Linked DNA regions of Canis lupus familiaris. The protein of the gene in region 2 interacts with the protein of the main gene of each other region in a pairwise test. Links are inferred from orthologs where the notes say so. Each region holds a gene or a part of one and is shown on either strand. Other genes may lie near its edges.

The links.
Region 1: the proteins of METTL21A (region 2) and ZBED8 interact in binary tests that used the Homo sapiens proteins (3 or more experiments, as listed by UniProt). The two-hybrid records come from large-scale screens. The link is inferred for Canis lupus familiaris from reciprocal best matches to the Homo sapiens genes METTL21A and FAM200C.

Annotation. Positions count from the first base shown.
Region 1 is NC_049225.1:51,217,127-51,221,701, reverse strand, and holds the start of ZBED8 (protein ZBED8), read right to left. Parts: upstream 2,810-4,575; 5' UTR 2,399-2,809; intron 1,515-2,398; 5' UTR 1-1,514.
Region 2 is NC_049258.1:15,863,984-15,868,413, forward strand, and holds the start of METTL21A (protein N-lysine methyltransferase METTL21A), read right to left. Parts: upstream 3,052-4,430; 5' UTR 2,767-3,051; intron 1,904-2,766; exon of another isoform or gene 1,816-1,903; intron 1,665-1,815; exon of another isoform or gene 1,595-1,664; intron 1,245-1,594; 5' UTR 1,201-1,244; coding exon 1,054-1,200; intron 36-1,053; coding exon 1-35. UniProt on the Homo sapiens protein: Protein-lysine methyltransferase that selectively trimethylates residues in heat shock protein 70 (HSP70) family members. Contributes to the in vivo trimethylation of Lys residues in HSPA1 and HSPA8.

The DNA.
Region 1 (4,575 bases), on a different chromosome or scaffold from region 2:
TCCCCACTTCCAGAGATTCTGATTCCCTAGCTCTACAGTAGGGGCTCAGAATCTGTACTCTACATAAGCATTTTAGATAATTCTTATGCATGGTAACTAAGATAGTAATCTTTAATAAGAGATGCTCATCACAATCACTGGGAACTCCTCTGAAATTATACATCTCCCTTCCTTAGAACTAATAAATCATGTTCTCCATAGGAGAACAAAAGACTCTTAAATCTTGGGGCACCTGGCCGGCTTAGTCAGTACAGTAGGGGACTCTTGATCTTGGGTCATGAGTTTAAGCCCTATGTTGGGCACATAGATTACCGTAAAAAAAAAAAAAAAAGACTCTAAATCTTGTCCAGGTGATTCTAATACATATCCTCGTGAGTAGTTAGATTTAGAGAAATGAAAACATATCCTTCAGGCCATCCACTAGATTATGGATAGGCTAGGTTGCTAAGTAAATAGTCTAAATGCTTTAATAGGCATTTAAGTTTCTGAGTTGATAACAACCTCCTAAGAAAGTTCAGGGACCTAAGGAAGAATGCCATGCTTTTTTTCTTTCTCCTTAGCAATGAGCAAAGGTATAACCCACAGGTAGGCTCAAATATACCTTAGAAGATAGTTCTATCTCCCAGATAAACAAATGATCCCCTAAGTTTCCAAAGTTCTATTCTACAGAATGTGGTGGAAATAAAACAGGGACACATTTAAATCCAAATGCCCACTTTGGCCATAAAAAAATACCTCACAATAAGTAAGGCAAGAATATTAATTAAAACGCTAACTTTTTAGTAGTTCTGCCCAATTAACTAGCTATAAAATGAACTTCTATGTAAACTAATAAGTTGGCAAGCCACATGGCTACTTGTTATGAGTCAGTTAAAATTTGGAAGATGATTTGAAGTTTAAAAGTTGATCCTAAGCTTTCTTTTGTCAAGTGATGATGATAGGGTCAACTATGTTTAGGATCTCTCCTAACTGATAATAAAATTATAACATCAGCATAAAAATGCTTATTTTTCTATACTCTCTTATGTATATTTACTATGTATGTTTTGGGGAGGAGTAGAAGTGAATGAAAAAGCTTTGCTCAGTCTCATTAGAAATTATTATAGTAATAGACTAGTTAAGGGTCCATTCCAACCCACCCTGACTATGCCACTCAGGTATGTTTTGATTGAAAATTTACCTGTTTTGACAAAAGATTTTTAGAAAAAGTCATTTGTAGTAGTAGTCCTCATCCTCCTCAAAAAAGGAGAATAGGTAGCAAGAATTTTCAAGATTCTCAAAGAGGAATTTACTGTGTTTTAGAACTTTACAATTTTCATTTGCTCCTCTGTGTTATTTAGTAATCACAATATCCTAAAATATGGAAACACTAAAAAAGCATCAACATATTATTGTTAACTGGGGCGCCTGGGTGGTTCAGTTGGTTAAGCATCCGACTCTTGATCTCAGCTCAGGTCTTGATCTCAGGGTCCTGAGTTTGAGCCCCACGTTGGGCTCCACACCCAGGGTGGAGCCTGCTTAAAAAAATGGGGAGGAAAAAGAGAAAAAACTTAATTTAAACAGGTGTGATTAATGGTATGCTTGTGTGAAAAAGGGTACTCATTTATTAGAGATACAGACTTTGCTGCTTACAAGGTGAGAATGAAAACACGTCTGGGATTTCCTTTGAAAGACTGTCGTCAGCGCGCGTGCACACACACACACACACACACACACACACACACACCAGTGGGGTGGAGACAGAAGACCTTAGATGGGCCTTGAGTTGGTAATTGCTGAAGCTGAATGATGGGCACACAACATTGCATCATTCTCACTATATTTTATGTTATGTAGGGGAATTTTCCGTAATAAACAGTAAAGTTATCGTAGTCAGCAAAACGCATTATCTTTAGACATGATTCGTTTTCAGAATGATTCTTTTGAGAGTTTGAGATATCTTAAGATGCAGAGTGAAAGATGTGATACAAACCAGTAAAATGTTTTTGTTTTTTTTTTTGCAAGTTTACGGGGTATAAGGGTAGCTATGAAAAAGTATCACGACTGTGAGAGAAACCCGTTAGAAGTGAGCATTCACAGAACAGAAATCTCTGGGAAAGGCTAAAACCTGTATCTCTGCAGTGACAACAGCCCAGTGCAGCTGTAAACCTACGACTCCGAGCCAAACACAATTCCTCTTCTGTCTCGGCACTGCCTCCTCCGGTCCGAGGGGGCGCGGTGTCCGGGGTCGGGATTTCGCGAGGACACTTGGCAGAGGCGACAGCCAGAAGGAAAGGGCCGGGGATACAGCAGCCGAGCAAAGGCTCGGGCGGCAGACGCCGGGCAGCCTGGCTTTGTCACCCGGAGGCCGGTCCCTTCCGAGCCTCGATTCCTCGAGTGGGATGACAATAGTACCTACCTTACAGGGTTGTTGGGAGCTTTAATTATTAAGCATGCATGTGCAGACCATGCAGCTCGTAACTGGTAGGCACTGTTGGTGTATTATTAAGGACGGCGCGTTAGGGCAGCGGCGCGAGCTGCGGGCGCCGGCGGCGAGGAAAGAAGACTCCGCTCGCTCCGCACCCGCCCGTCTCCGGGCCCGGGCGCAGGCCCAAGGGATGCTCAGGCCTCCTTCGGGCGCCGCTCTCCGGCTGCAGGTCGCTCTCCGCTCAGGCTGGGGTACAGCCGCCGGGCGCCGGCTGCTCGGCTCCGGGCCCCCAGCAGGAACCTGCGGGGCGCGGGGAGACGGAAGAGTCCGCAGCGGCCTCCAGCCGGCCGCCCCGGGGTTCCATCCGGGTCCTCCGCGTGGCTTCCCGCCCGCCGCCCGGCCGAGGAGTCTCCCCGCGCGCAGGCGCATTAGCCGCCGGTGGAGGGCTCCGCCGGCTGGAGTGAGGAGCATGCGCATGCGCGGTGGTCCGCTCCCTTTTTTTTTTTTTTTTTTTTTTGTATACGTGGAGCGGGGATTCTTTTGTGTGTCTGCCAGAGAGGATGAGTCGTAGAATCTAAGGAATGGAGAGTCCACGTCGTTCTTCAGAGCACTGAAGTCGATTTTGTAACACCCAATAATTAGCGTTTTCTATGTGTGATCAAGGAGTAAAGAGTTAGGAAGCTCATTGTACTCCCCAATTAAACATTGCGGCAAGCGCGACAGGCTGTAAGCTCCACGGAGATACTCGCAGTGGAGATGAACTTCTAGAGCTTGTGTCTTCTTGTCCATGCAGGTCACCCCTTTCCATAAATTAGAGCATGTAGATGAATTTCCTCAGAACCATAATTCGAGAGAAAAGACCGTCAGTTTTATTTAAAGTTCATTTTAACAGGGACACCTGGGTGGCTCAGTGGCTGAGCATCTGTCATTGGCTCAGGTCATGATCCCAGAGTCCTGGGATCGAGTCCTGCATCAGGCTCCTGCAGGGAGCCTGCTTTTCCCTCTGCCTATGTCTCTGTGTCTCTCATGAATAAATAAAATCTTTAAAAATAACATAAAATTCGTTTTAACTTGATCTTAAACTTATAAACTCATTATTAGATTTTAGACGGAAAAAATTCCCAAGTAGAAACTAGATAACATTGCTAAAAGAAACTCAAACAGACGTCCTTCCTATTTGGGGGGTATTTCCTCTCAGAATTGTTACAAACTTAATGAAAGAACAATTTATTCATTTTTGTATAGTTAGTCTTGTTAGAAGCATCCCACAAGGTTGGGGAAAGGGGTATTATTAAAGAATGTGGGACAGATGCATCATTTTCAGGTGTTGAGGGTGAACCTTGTAGACTGAGGCAGGCTTAAGGTTTCTGTCAACAGAAGAAATTGCAAGAGACCAGTCTTCCTGGCCCAGAAAGTGGGGTCTTAAAATACTAGAGAAAGGAGTAGGCTTTACTTGACATTTGACTTGACAAGTCAAAGATACTTGGCTTTATGTCCTGCACTTTTTTTTTTAAGATTTTATTTATTCATAAGAGACAGAAACAGAGACATATGCAGAGGGAGAAGCAGTCTCCTAGCAGGAGCCTGATAGGAACTCCATTCCAGGATCCCAGAATCATGACCTGAGCCAAAGGGAGACACTCAACCACTGAGCCACCCAGGTGCCCCTAACACTTTTAACTGTCGGGACTTGAGCAAGCTACATGGATTTAAGTCCATGTGCTTATTGTAAAATAGGGGTACTATCCATTACTCCAGGAAGTTCTTTTGCAGAAGTAACATATAAAAATTACATGGCTTTAGCACTCAAAAGGCAGCTATTATTGAGATAATAAAATCGAACGTTCAGGGGCACCTGCATGGCTCAGTCCATTAAGCATCTGTCTTTGACTTAGGTCATGATCTCAGGATCCTGGGAATCCAGCCCCGAGTCAGGCTTCCTGCTCAGGGAGTCAGCTTCTCCCTCTCCCTCTGCCATTACCCCTGCTTGTGCTCTGTCAAATAAACAAAATCTTAAAAAAAAAAAAAAAAAAAAAAAAAAAAATCAAAGTTCACATAAGAATGTTCCAGGTGTTACTTTTTTTTTTTTCCCAAAATGAAGTAGAAATAAGACAGGAATTCAGATATTCTTCCTAAAATCAGTAAACTAGGCTTCACAGAAGAGGGAA
Region 2 (4,430 bases):
GCTCCCATCTCCAGGTACGTGGAAAGAACCACAGCCTGAGTCAAAACACAGCGGGACGATCCAAGTCAACAAATGCTTTAGGAGCCCAAGGGTTTCGGGCAGCTTCCCACTAGCGGGGGACATCACACGCCCCCCTCACCCTGCATGGTTCCAGGCCCAGTTTAGTGATGTGCAGAAACTCAGCAGCTGCTGGTGGGTGACCCCCTAGAGGGGGCACAGACACCGCAGCCTCGCCCCACCAGGTCCCTCCTGGGGACCGCAGGAGTCACGGACACTGCCCACACAGCATAGCGTCCTGCTCCATCTGGCACCTTTAATTTCTTGCTGTTTGGTATATGAATTATATCTCAATAAACCTGTTATTAAAAATAATAATAATTGGGCAGCCCGGGTGGCTCAGCGGTTTAGTACCGCCTTCAGGCCAGGGCCTGATCCTGGAGTCCTGGAATCGAGTCCCACGTTGGGCTCCCTGCATGGAGCCCGCTTCTCCCTCTGCCTGTGTCTCTGCCCCTCTCATGAATAAATAAAAAAAATTAAACCATAAAATAAAATAAAATAAAATAAAATAAAATAAAATAAAATAAAATAAAACAAAATAAAATAAATAAAATAAAATAAAATAATAAAATAATAAAATAAAATAATAAAATATAAAATAAAATAAAATATAAAATAAAAATAAATAAAATAAAATAAATAAAATATAAAATAAATTAAATTAAATTAAAAAATAAAATAAAATAAAATAAAATAAATAAATAAAATAAAATAAAATAAAAATAATAAAATAAATAAAATAAAAGGCAGCCCGGATGGTTCAGTGGTTTAGCGCTGCCTCCAGCCCAGGGTGTGATCCTGGAGTCCCGGGATCGAGTCCCTGTGTGGAGCCTGCTTCTCCCTCTGCCTGTGTCTCTGCCACTCTCTCTCTGTCTCTCATGAATAAATAAATAAAATCATAAAAAAATAAAAATAAATAAAAATAATAAAATTATAATAAAGACCATTCTTACAATGAATTGTGGTTGTCTTCAGAGGCCCAGTGGCTGTACTTACCGCGTCCCAAACCACTGCTGCGACTCCCAGCTGCCTCCAGTCCTGCCGGATCTGGATCGTGTGGTTCGCAAAGGAGAAGGTGGCAAGAGGCTTGTGGAATTTCTGCAACCCCACTCCCGGGGTGTCCTCATAGGGCACCAGGGCCATTTCGCAGGCACTCAGCTCTCTGCACCCTCAAAGCTCTTGAGGCTCTGGCCAGGGGGAGAAAATAAAAAAAGCATTCTCTCTTAAGTAGCTCCAAATGCTTTTTAAGGCCATTTTTCACAAGTTCAAAAGAAGACAACAGAGGTGGGGGTGGGGGGGCTTGCTAAGTCCCTCGCGAGGCCCTTCCCCTTCTGGGAGGGGCGCCCGGTTCCGCAGCCCGGCCACGGAGTCGGCTCTGGGCCCACGACCCCGCGGGCGCACCGCGGCTGCAGGGGGCCCGGAGCGGCGGCCCAGGGCGGGGACGCGGGCACGCGCGGGAGCTCTAGCCGCGGGCCGCAGCTTGGGTCGCCCCCCGCCGGCTCTGAAGTCCCCCACAGCGACGGCCACGAGCCCGAACCTGCACTTGGACCGGGTGTTAACGGTTTGCGCGCAGCCCCGGGTCGCCCCGGCTGGAAGTGCGAGCCCCGAGCCCCGAGCCCCGAGCCCGCCCGTCCGCGACCCCCTCGCGCGGGCCCCAGAGCTCCGGGAACGGGGGGGTCCCCGGCCGCGCCCAGGCCGCCCCCCAGGCCCTGCGGGCACAGCGGCCGAGCCCGAGCTGGGCCCCCGGCCTCCACTCACCGCTCCGGAGCCGCCCCGCGCCGCGCGCCTCGCTCCGCCCGCCCCGAGCGCCTCCGGGCCGCAGACACGCTTCCGGCCCCGCCTGCAGGTGAGCTGGGCGCGCGCCCGAGGGGTCCGGCCCGCCTCCCTCCCTCCCTCCGCGGCCCGAGGTGTGCGAGCCCCGAGGCCGGGCCGGTCTCCGAGGGCGGGGAGGGCGGGAGGGCGGGAGGCAGGGAGGCCTCGGCCGGCTGGGGGCGCGCGCGGCTCGGGCTCTCCCCGGCCGGGGCCCCGCGGCTCCGCGCGCTTCTCTCGGGCTTTGCCGACGGGGAGCGTCCGCCCGGCCCGAGCGCGGAGGGTCGCCCGTCGCCCGCGGACCGAGTGGGCTCCGAGGAGTGCGCGGCCGCCCCTCCGTCCTCGCCTTGCCCCGTGCTGGGTCCTCGGCCCTCCGCGTCCGAGGCGCTGGCGTCGCCGCTTGGTGGCAACAGAGGAGAAGTGACAAAGCCCCTGTCGTCCAGAGCGCGAACTCGGAGTCCGCGCGCGACTGGCCCCGCGCCCCTCCTCCCCGGACCCGCGCCTCCTCATCCTCCCCGGACCCGCGTCCCCTCCTCCCGGGACCCCGGTCCCCCTCCTCCCCGGGCCCCGCTCTCCCCCTCCTCCCCGGGTCCCGGTCCCCCTCCTCCTCCCCGGGCCCCCTCCTCCCAGGGTCCCGCGTCCCCTCCTCCCCGGGTCCCGCTCCCCCTCCTCCTCCCCGGGCCCCCTCCTCCCCGGGCCCCGCTCTCCCCCTCCTCCCCAGGTCCCGGTCCCCCTCCTCCTCCCCGGTCCCCCTCCTCCCAGGGTCCCGCGTCCCCTCCTCCCCGGGTCCCGCTCCCCCTCCTCCTCCTCGGTCCCCCTCCTCCCCGGGTCCCGGTCCCCCTCCTCCCCGGGCTCCCTCCTCCCTGGTCCCCCTCCTCCCAGGGCCGGCGGTGGGCGCACCTGCCCCAGGGACCTCGGTGCCGGACGCGACAGTCACCGACCCAAGCTGCCTCCGTCCTCCCTTTCTTCCCGCTGTGCGCCACCCCCCCCCCCCCCCCGCCCCACCTGCCGCCGCTCGTCCCGGGGGTTTTCCGCGTCCCCGCGCCTGAGCAGGACCGCGGCGCCCGCCACCTGCCCCGCCTGGGCTCTGCCGCGGGGACGTCTCTACTGCTGCCGGGCGACCGAGCGTGGGCCCTTCCCGGTGCCTCCCGTGCGACCTGCTGCAGGAGCCTCAGGCCAAACCTAAACCGCCGCTCTCTGGCCTCCCCCCTCCTGCAGGGGGCCTGCGAGCCTCTCCCCACTTTTCTTTAACCTTCCAGCGGAAGGCCGGGCCGCAGAGGAGACTTGGAAGGGATCAGCAGTGAAGAAGGCCTTTGGCTAACTTTTTGTCTTTGCTCAGCTTGTTTATTTTAATTTTTAAGATTGTATGTAATAGGATTTATTTTTTAGTGCAGTTTTAAGTTCAGAGCAAAATTGTTGAGAAGAGACAGAGATTTCCCATACACTCCCTGCACCAGCACAGGCTTAGCCTCCCCCCCCCCATTATCAGCACCCCCCCCACCAGAGTGGCACATTTGTTACAATTGATGAACCTTCTTTGAACACAGCATTATCACCCAGAGACCATAGGTTATTTGGGGGGCTCATCCTTGGTCTTGAGCATTTTATTTATGAGTTTGGACAAATCTGTAATGGCAAATATCCACCATCATAGCGTCATATAGAGAAGTGTCATTTCCCTAAACATCCCCTGCGCTCCACCTGTGGATCTCCCTCCCTCTACCATAACCCCTGGCAACCGCTAATCTTTTTACGCAGTTCCTCTGGTCCATACCAAAGAGTGTGATTACTGAATTTTATGGTGAAAGTATGTTGAGTTTTATAAGAAACTACTAGACTCTCTTCCAAAGTGGCTGTACCATTTTGTGTTCCCACTAGTAATGAATGAGAGTTTCCGTTGCTCCATGTCCTTGTCAGTATTCGATGTTGTGTTTTGAATTTTAGCCACTCTGGTAGGTGTGTACTAGTTGTTTTAATTTGCAATTCCCTAGTGACATGTGATGTGGAACATCTTCATATGCTTGTTTGCCATCTGTGGATCTTCTTTAATGAAGTGCCTGTGGAGTCTTTGGCCTACTTTTTTGGTCCTATTTTATTTTCCAGCTTTATTGAGATATAATTGACATATTTAAGTTTAAGGTATAAAGTGTGATGATCTGATACGTGTATATACTGCAAAACCATTATTATAATAAGGTTAGTTAACACATCCATCATCTCACATAATTATTACTTTGTGCACGTGTGTAGTGAGAACATTTAAAATCCACTCTCTTAACAACTATTAAGTATAGGCTACAGTATTATTAACTATAATCACCATGCTGAATATTAGATTCCTAGAACTTACTCATCTTATAACTGTAAGTTGGTACCCTCTAACCAGCATCTCCTCATTCCCCTACCCCCTGCCCCTGGCAACCACCATTCTAACCTGTTTCTATGAATTTGGCTATTTTAAAAAATAGATCCCACATAGGGGCATCTCGGTGGCTCAGCCAGTTAAGCATCCAGCTCTTGGTTTCAGCTCAAGTCCTGATCTCAGGGACGTGGGACCGGGCCCC